2 linked regions of the Drosophila melanogaster genome follow. The protein of the gene in region 2 interacts with the protein of the main gene of each other region in a pairwise test. Each region holds a gene or a part of one and is shown on either strand. Other genes may lie near its edges.

Region 1 (4,144 bases), on a different chromosome or scaffold from region 2:
TGTCCAAAATCGGCGAGGAGCAGAGTACGGAGGATGCTGAGGACGGACCACCCGAGCTGCTCTTCATCCATGGCGGTCACACTGCCAAGATTAGCGATTTCTCGTGGAACCCCAATGAGCCATGGATCATTTGCTCCGTGTCCGAGGACAATATTATGCAGGTCTGGCAGATGGCCGAGAATGTTTACAACGACGAGGAGCCAGAGATTCCCGCCTCCGAGTTAGAAACCAATACCGCTTAAAGCATCTGTTCCGCCTCCTATAATACACACCAAACTACAACTGAATCCGATAATGTTTTGGCCGTGCCCCGTGTCCAGCTATCCAGCCTAAATGGCAATGGGTACTCATTTTAATTTATATATATTTACATATTTTTAAAAACAAAATTTAATTAAGCTCTCATTTGTCAGCAGATTGTACAATCTATGAATTTTTAATTAAAAATGATTAAAAAGTCAAGAAATGAGGTTAATTTTTTTGAAATTAAATACCAACTTAGATCTTCAAGCGTATTTTATTTAATTCTATTCAAAAAGAAGCACATTAAACCACATTGTATTTGTGTTTCTTGCCAAAGACTTCTATGTCCACACTAAGTCCTCTGACATCCTCTTTATGTCTTCTTGACGTGATTTTCCCACAAATGACGTCTCCTTCCTTCACAACCTGCGGGTTCTCGATGAAGAAAACCGTTTGCTTCCAATGGGTGGGCGTCGCAGATGGTGATGTGCTGAACATGACGGGGGAGGGTAGTTCAAACAATGTTTCAAAGTAACCGACAAAGGCGGATAATCGTCCCGGCTTCGTGACCTTTAAGCTAAACTGGTGAGTAAAGTTTGGATAGTTCATATCGACGGTCATTATGTCGAAGTTAGCTATCTGTTCGGGTTCCGTCAGCATGAACTCTGCATCCACCACCTGCATGAGTGGCTCCTCTATTGATTGCTTTCGCAGATCGCTCATGTCGACCTCGTAAACGTTAGACCAGAATTCCACTTCATCGGCATAAAGCGTGTCGTCTCCATAGCCCAAGAGACTGAGTGTACAGCGACTGGGCAGTATTATGCCATTGGGGTTGAGGTGATTCTCGCGGGCGTAGATAATGCTGTCCAGCATTGATTCGTACAAAAGAAAATAGCCCATCCATTCGGATATTATAATGTCGTATTTAGTCTCTGGGAGATCTGTGTCCTCCAGCCGTCCCTTGATCAGTTCAACATTCTCAACCTTGTTCTTCCTGATGATATCCATGGCGGTGTACACAATGTCCGAGTTATCTATGCCGACAACGCGAGCTGCACCCGCTTTGGAGGCGAAGATGGATAGGATTCCCGTGCCGCATCCCACATCCAACACTGTCTTGCCCCGAACAACGGCCTCGTTTTGGAGCAAAGACGCGCGATAGGTGCTGGTCCGCACCTTGTCGCTGAGCATTTCATGGTGAATGCCAAAGTGGGCGTAGCTTTTGAAGTATTCGTTGTCGAGACAAACGTTGTTACGCGGTACGCTCTGGTCGGAACCTTTGGGCTCGCCGTCAGCATGTACCTTTTGCAGCAGCGCCTTGTAGTCGTTGCGCATGCGTTCCATGTCCTCGTTGGCCTGCTGCAGCAATTGCGACTGCTCAGCAATCCGCTGTTGTAGCTCCAGAACCGAGGGCTGCGTCGGAGCGCCGTCTGTTTTAAGGACTTCGTAGTCATAGCAGAGCCAGGGCTCATACTCCCCGGGCTGGAGGTACTTCTCATCCTGCCAAAGCGGATGTTCCGCAGACAATAACTGCTCGGCACTGATCTTTTTGGCTCTTATGTAGTTTATCAGTTTGATAAAGGAATACTGGTCCATTTCGAATTTACGCTGAAGCTGGGACAGATTCACTTTATGCCGGGCGTCAAGATGGTCAATGGCCACCGAGATGTTTGCAGATGTTTCGGTGCAAAACAGACAAGTGGTTAGCTCATCGCCTTCGTCCATTGGCTCATCATCGTCATCTATGTCATCGTACTCATCTTCGTCGGAGCTGGAATTGGCCGGCACCTCAGGTGCCTCCTTCACGGGCTCCTCCTCTGTGGTGTTGTCTACATTGGGATGGGATTAATAAGTAATCATCTCCAGGAAATAAAAGCTTTTACGGGCTCGAACCGTTGACCTCGGTGTCTTTCATGCTATCTTTGTTTGCAAGTCCTATTGGCCTGCTTTCAGAGAAAAGAATTCAAATCGCACGACGAAGATCACAAATTTATAAATGCCAACTAAATGGGGTTTTGAGCGGCGCGAACACGTGCGGAAATTTGGAAACGAAAATAGCTTAACGCGTTTTGGTATACTTGAAATGTTGCTTTAGAGGGTATCGCAGGGGATATATGTTATAGAATAACTTTCGACGACATTGTAAAAGTGAAATTATGTTTACGCTGATATTTTAACAAATTAATTTTCTGCTTGGAAGAAGTAGGCTTAAAGAAAAAAATTTACATTTCATTTTTATTACAGGGTAGGTAAGTAACTATAGACTCACAGAAACATTTACACTACGTATGTAGTATTTTTCAGTATTTTCGAAAAGGCGTTATAAGCAGTATTGCGGCTGCCGCACTTGCATAATTCTAGGTGTAAATACAGTTTTTAATATGTTACAGGTATTTAGATCCCATATATCAATGAAAATGCATATGAAACATCTAGATTTATATTCCCAGGCTATAAAGACGCTCCGCTGGACACAGCCAATGCGGGCTCTGTCCACGGTAAACACCAGTTCCGGCGTACAAGGCAATCTTTCACCTGCGGCACCTGCTCCGGAACCGGATAAACTCTACAGCAAGCTGGAGATTGAGCTGCGGGGTATTGATCCGGCAGTTCTGAAGAGCTACACCTGGTTTGCTACTACTGCTGCCGAGCATTTGGGCATTGAAAAGGGAAAATGGTAAGAGGTAAAAATCCTCCGGTAAAGGAAATCTCTAACATACATATGTGTTCGTTAATCCTCATGCAGTTGGTCACCTCGCAAGGCGCACCACGAGCGGATGACGCTCCTGAAGTCGGTGCATATCTACAAGAAACATCGCGTACAGTACGAGGTGCGAACCCACTTCCGCTATATGAACTTCCACAAGTTGACGGGCTCCACGCTAGATACATTTCTAGAGTATATTGAACGTAATCTGCCCGAGGGCGTAGCGCTGCAGGCTTCCAGGACTGAGCTGCAGGAGATCCCAGAGCACTTGCGCCAGCCGCCGGAGCAAGTTTAGCCGAAGCCAATACTACAGTAGACCTTAGTTATTAAAAGTTCAGTATGAGCTTAGATTGCACCAGCAATCCGCACGGTAATCGGCCGTACTCGGGCCCCGTCCGCGATTAGCAAAGATAAGTTTTTGGCAGAATATTGAAATAAAAGTCGTATCTTGACACACACGATGGGATCCACTTGAAAAGTAAGCAAACAAAATCAGGGCGGGCGAACGCTGGCATACCAGTAGCTACTCCAAACCGAACGGAAGCGAATCAATCAGCAGAATGCAGCGGGCAAAACTCACTTCACAGGTCCTGCTGGCCACAGCCATTCTCTACGCATGCCTGTCGCCCGCTGCCTGCGTTTACGAGGCGAAAATCTTGGCGTTCCTTCAGGAGTTCCGTATGCGCATGTGCCACCCAATCCCGAATCTAGGCCTGCCCGCATTGGACCCACTGCAGTTGGGGCCTGCTGAAACAGAACTGAACAACAAATACCTCGTGGAGTAAGCAAATGCTGTAATATGTGCGCTTAGAGGCGTTACAAATTCATTTGTTTTCTAGCTTCACTGGGTCCATTGACAACTTTCAGTTGCACGGATTGTCCGATTTTGATGTGCCTGCGCTCAGCTTATCCCCGGTGCCCGGTTTGAAGAACACCATTAACGTTACCTTGCCACTCACGTACTTCAAATCCTTATACACCGCCAAAGGATCCTTGGCCTATATCCTCAACTTGGCCGGTGATGGCAATGCCGAGTAAGGCCATCTTCATTCAATTTCAATCTGTGAACAAAAATGCATATTTATTTACTTCTCTTTTAGAACCTCCATTACAAACTTTTCAATCCTCATTTCGTTTCGATTGAGATCGGTGTCTCCCCTGGCCATATCTTCATTACAGATTGAGCTGCGT
Region 2 (5,764 bases):
CTTGGCATGATGCAAGTGTCAACTAAATGGTGCAGCTTTAAACGAAATTTTATATATGAACACATATATTGAGATGACACAAACCGGATGTTGAACAATACATACATAGCATATATATTTCGTATAGTCGTATATGTTTGTTAAGTGCCAATAAGGTCCTCACAAATACAATACTCATAGAAGAATACCCTGTCCCAAGCCTTTTCTCACCCCCATCAGTAAATTTAACCGCCCAGGAAAAATTTCAAATCGAAAAACCACATTCCAAGCATTTCCCAGACCACGTGTACATTTTTAGACGCAAAGCACGAAGTAGTGCAAATCTGGTAAAGTGAAATCACCAATAATCTTGTTTGTTAAACGTAGTATCCCTAGAATCAAATAACTACTAGCTGATAGTTATTGAATGGCACGAAACCAAAGAGCACTATTTTTGAATTATTAGGTAATATGAGAGGCACTGCTCAGATGGAATGTTAATTGGATATACTCGCAATATAATATGTGTCCTTCGAATCGTTACTCCCCCTAAGTAGTTCGGAATATTAAAGCTTACTTCGAAGACTAACCATAGTTTTTACAAACACTTCACACCTAATGTTATGGAGCGCGTCGAGATATCCTAGCCATTTTCCGAGTCCAAATTGAGTTCTCCTCGTACGTGCCATCCTAACCGACCTTAGACTTCCTCAGCAGGATATCCGCACTGCACACGATTAATCCTTAATGTACGTGGACTCTTGTATACTGTCGAACTACTATTGCAAACCAACGTAATATACATAAAAGTCGATTTAATTTTGCAAATAAACATTTTCAATGCGATTCCCCGCGCCCACGAGTCCTCGGTTCCGCATGGAACACGGGGTTTTGGTGCCAGCGCCGGGACGCCGCTAATGCCACACAGTAGCCAGTTAACATTAATTATAAATGAACCACTTAATATTAGTAAAATGCAAAGCAAAGCGGCTCAGCAAGGCCACGCTTGTGTACAGTACAACTAGATGTAAGCGTATACCTGTCTAATGTTAAATCGAAGTAATCGAAAAGTAGCTACTAGTTGATATTAGCCGAGAAAAAATAACGAAAATAGCAAGTGGAACTTGAAAACTATACACTACGTTAAGCGATAAATAATGCCTAAGTAGTTGAATGTATTCACTAAGCGGAGTTATAACCTGTGTACAAAGCTGGGTTCCTTTCGTAACTTCATTAGTTTTTCATTTTTAACTTAAATTATCCATGTGATGTGCTGCTTCAGGTGTCATGTCACATGGTACGACCCTGTGCCCCATGGATCTTCACTTGTGCCAAGAACTGGTGGCGATGGGGTCCCCAGTTAAGGTGTAACCACTCTAAAATAGGGAACGAAATGTAAAACTGTAAAAGGGCATAAGCCATATTATCCATACATGTATACTCCTATAACCAGTGTTTAAAAAAACCACCAATAAATTCAAATTACGTATACTCTTGGCTTAAGCCGTACGCATTTTGCAGGTGCAACTGCACGTGGGGTCCGTACAGACTGATGAAGGTAAGCACCTGGTTGCAGCTGGGCTTTCCGAACTGCTTTAGCACTTCGGCGGTGCGGCATGGATGCAATGCCATAAAGGGTCTGAAAAGCACCGGGTGATCCATCTGGGTGAGTATCTGGTGGAGATCGCTGGCCTTCGATTCGGGCATGAACATTCGCCAAGTGGCCTCCACATCCAAAAGACTTCCATCTACGATAAGTGGATTTATTTTCACATCTAGTGAGATTTTGTAAAATATGTAAATACCTGATCTGTGTGCCTGGAAGAACAACATTGGTACTTGATAGGAAACACTGAAGACCACATGGTACTCCACACTAACCAACTCAGCCGAGTTGTCCTTGCCACCTCGGCATTTAATCTTCTGACTACATTTGAGATAGGTGTTTGGTTCATTCGAGTCCTTAATTGGGATGGAAAACGTATTAAATAATTAGCCCGAATTATAAAATCCGCACTGCGAGATACCTTTTGTTCCAATATCCAATTATCACCCAACTTCTGCGAAATTTCGAGGAACTGCTTGGCCTGGCTCAAAAAATCTTTCCAGCTCAAGTCGCCCATAATGCTGAAAATAAAGCACAAAAATATGCGTGTTAAAATCTTTAAACACTTCAAATACCCACGCGTAACGATACTTGAAAGAAAACAATTTCTTTTGCGTGGGAAACAAGCCTCATACATATATTTAAGAATGTCCTGTATTCTAGAGCAAAATTGAAACGCCAAAGGTTAAAGCTCCTCAACACAATACACTTAAGCTTAACACAAATCGTCAATTAACGAATATCAATTGCAATAATCCATAAGTTAGGCGCTGCGCAGGTCGCCGTCCAGGGCGGTAACCTGGACATTCTCGTTGCGCCGGACCTGAACCACAGTCACCGTGCCGGCCTTGTCATCAAATTTGCACGTCACCGTGACCTCCCGCAGCTGGAAGGTAAATATTTGCGAGCCATATTTTGTGCGCAAGTAAACGGAGCGCGGATCCGCCTCCAGAATGTCCACGATGCACTGCTTCTCCACCTGCAGCTCCTTTAACTGCGCCTCGGCATGCTCGTTAAAGGTCACGCTAAGTCTATTGCTGGCCACCACCCAGTTGGGCACTCGCACGGCGCTGGGTGGCGGCAGAATAGCGTCAGCTCCAATGCCCGCGTTCCCGCTGTAGCCAGCTGCTCCATACAGTTCCAGGTCCGATTCCTCTCCGTCAGGCTCCTGTCTGGAGTCGTAGAAGTCCAGGCTGCTCTCATGCGGTCCAACAGAGGTTCTTCCTGTCCGGGGCAAGAACTTTAGTTGCATTTCTGCTTGATTCTCGTCCAACGTACCTGAGTCAACGCTCAAGGATGGTGCATCGTAGTGTGGAATGTAGGGCTTAATGTCCAACACGGGTGTGCCGTCTACCATGTCCGTACCAAAGAAACTAATGGTGGCGTTCTCGATCTTCTCAATCTCCACCAACGAGAGACCAATGGGACACGGGCGGTGTGGAGATCGTGTGGAAAACACACCCACCCGCTCCCCACCAAGACGGGGAGGCGCCACCTTGGCCTTGGGGTGGGAATTGTTGCGGTGAAAATGATAGATGAGCCACAGATGGGAAAAGTCCTCTAGTCCCTCCAAGGAGTGCTCCGGATTGGTGAACACACCGTCGTTCAGTTGGATGATACCCCGCAGGCGACTGCCCACAATTGACTGCCTCGGCACGGCCCGCTTCTCTGGGAATGCTGTCCGGATCACTCCTATGGGCCGAAAGTGTGCGTAGTCCTCTCCCAAGCAGTGCCCACCATTGGTATAATTGCTCTAAGGATTGGGTGCGAGGTTTGTATGTGTCTTTCAGTGTGTGGGAGGGTCAAACGCACCTGACCTTGGCCCGTCTGCTGGTCCTGCGTCTGCTGTTGGTGCTGGTGCTCCTGCTTCTCGCCGGCGACCTTGTCCTTGGCGCTTTTGTTGTTGTTCGCACACCCCTCGCAGCGGAAGTCCTGCAGCAGGCGGGTTATCGTCTCAATGTCCTTGCGCTGCACATGCTGCAGGTTGCGCACTTGCTGCCTGCATCATGGTCAAGGCAAAATCGGTGTGAACTTGAACTATACCAGTAGCAAAAGGACACTCATGGCAATTTGCCTGTCTCAAACGCACCTGAGATTGTTGATCTCGTTCCGCGCGATGGTCAACTGACTCTTCAGATCATCCTCGTGCATTTTCGCTGCCGGCAACGCGCACTTGACTCCCAAATAATCCGCAATTGCAGCGTTCTCCGCTGTTATTGACCAATATTTACCTCGATTCTCAATGGTTACATCCAGCTAGAGTTGGCCATCACTTACGCACGGCACCGCGACGTTATCGATTGTCGATAGGTTCACCTGTGCTTAGTTACGGCCAACTGCCTTAATTCCAGTTAGATTTAGCTTGCGCTCAATAGCTTTTTTTACAAACATTTTCTTAAGAAATAACGTTGTAAGCCTCAACAAAAATTATATAAGATAACGTTACTGAGCAGTAAAAGTTTTGTCTTCAATTTACATATGTTTGTTAATATTTTTTTTTACAAATCCCTTTGCTCTATGTTGACTAATTTACAATAATTCACAAATAAAAATAGGAATAATTTAAACATTTTGTAAGCGTAGCTTAACACTATTTTGGCTTTTTCCAAATATTCGATTTCAATGATAAACGATATATCCCAGCGCGCGTTTCTTTTTGGTATTTTTTAGGTTCATTTTCGGGCTGAGAATGACAATCTGAATTTTGCACAGTAGGTTCGATTTGAAGCGACATTTTCCCTGCTATATACAAATTTGTAAATTTTAATTGTTCAAAAGGTGTGTTGCTTGCGGCAGACTTGAGAACTGAATTTTAACCGGCGTTGTCTATTGCAGCTATCGAAGCACGAAGAAAGCATCATGTCTCGCGGAAGTTCAGCCGGCTTTGACAGACACATCACGATCTTCTCTCCGGAGGGACGCCTCTACCAAGTGGGTTAGTATCCTGGCACTTGCGGCTCCATTGTATCCAGTCTGACATTCTCATTTCCCCGCCAGAGTACGCCTTCAAGGCTATTGCCCAGGAGAACATCACCACGGTGGCGCTGAAGAGTGGCGACTGTGCCGTGGTGGCCACCCAAAAAAAAGTGACCGAGAAGAACATCGTGCCTGAAACGGTGACCCACCTGTTCCGCATCACCAAGGACATTGGATGCGCAATGACCGGACGCATAGGTATGAACCATAGATACTTTAAATTCTTGTTTATCCCGGCGTGATTCGAGTCAAATTCCAGTCGAGTTAGCACAGAGTTATCCCATTGTTGATATGTCCCATGTAACCAAGTAGCGATTCACTTATGATTGTGCTAAAATCAGAAGAAATAGCCTGCCAGACATTAGGGCAAAGGCGTATAGCGTGGAGCCATTTTAAACGTAGTTTTCACACGGTGCTTCAACTAGAAAAGAGGACATATCAACCCAAGAGTGTCACTAAATACTTAAAATTATTTCTCTCCCCTAGCTGATTCCCGCTCACAGGTGCAGAAGGCCAGATACGAGGCCGCCAACTTCCGCTACAAGTACGGCTACGAAATGCCCGTGGATGTGCTGTGTCGTCGAATTGCGGATATCAACCAGGTGTACACGCAGAATGCCGAGATGCGTCCGCTCGGCTGCAGCATGGTGCTGATCGCTTACGACAATGAAATCGGCCCCAGCGTTTACAAGACGGACCCGGCTGGCTACTTCAGCGGGTTCAAGGCCTGCAGCGTGGGTGCCAAGACTCTGGAGGCCAACAGCTATCTGGAAAAGAAGTACAAGCCCAACTTGTCGGAGGAGAAAGCGATCCAGCTGGCCATCTCCTGTCTGTCCAGTGTGCTCGCTATAGACTTCAAGCCGAACGGCATTGAGATCGGCGTGGTCAGCAAGTCTGATCCCACTTTCCGTATTTTGGATGAGCGGGAGATCGAGGAACACCTCACCAAGATCGCCGAGAAGGACTAAGTTCTGTCCCGCTAGCTGTAATTTTGTCATATTTTATAAAGCCTCTTGGATCTATGGTTAAATAAAAAATGCTCTTGGCTTGCATTCAAAACAAAGGCAAATCCGAAAACGTTTTATTTCTTCTTGTGCACCTTACCGCCGTATCGCATGACAAAGGCATTTACATCGAATTTGCGACGGCATCCCTGATAGTTCATGTACCTAACCTTACCGAAGATAGCCCGCTCCTTCCAGC

The links. Proteins that work in one complex are often made in the same cells at the same time.
Region 1: the proteins of Atg10 (region 2) and Art3 interact in a two-hybrid assay, tested with the Drosophila melanogaster proteins (one large-scale study listed by BioGRID).

What each region holds. Positions count from the first base shown.
Region 1 is NT_033777.3:15,227,105-15,231,248, forward strand, and holds Art3 (arginine methyltransferase 3), read right to left. Parts: upstream 2,305-4,144; 5' UTR 2,162-2,304; coding exon 2,140-2,161; exon of another isoform or gene 2,076-2,139; coding exon 547-2,075; 3' UTR 501-546; downstream 1-500. Other genes in the region: Caf1-55 (chromatin assembly factor 1, p55 subunit), read left to right, coding at 1-242; mRpS10 (mitochondrial ribosomal protein S10), read left to right, coding at 2,658-2,923, 2,993-3,248; CG34316 (uncharacterized protein), read left to right, coding at 3,514-3,734, 3,793-3,987, 4,054-4,144.
Region 2 is NT_033778.4:7,830,276-7,836,039, reverse strand, and holds Atg10 (Autophagy-related 10), read right to left. Parts: upstream 3,870-5,764; 5' UTR 3,817-3,869; exon of another isoform or gene 3,737-3,816; coding exon of another isoform or gene 3,675-3,736; intron 3,585-3,674; coding exon of another isoform or gene 3,398-3,584; intron 3,339-3,397; coding exon of another isoform or gene 2,349-3,338; exon of another isoform or gene 2,199-2,348; intron 2,107-2,198; 5' UTR 2,103-2,106; coding exon 2,007-2,102; intron 1,942-2,006; coding exon 1,785-1,941; intron 1,728-1,784; coding exon 1,462-1,727; 3' UTR 522-1,461; downstream 1-521. Other genes in the region: CG12822 (uncharacterized protein), read right to left, coding at 2,349-3,338, 3,398-3,584, 3,675-3,736; Prosalpha1R (proteasome alpha1 subunit-related), read left to right, coding at 4,445-4,520, 4,583-4,759, 5,048-5,529; CG18853 (uncharacterized protein), read right to left, coding at 5,643-5,764.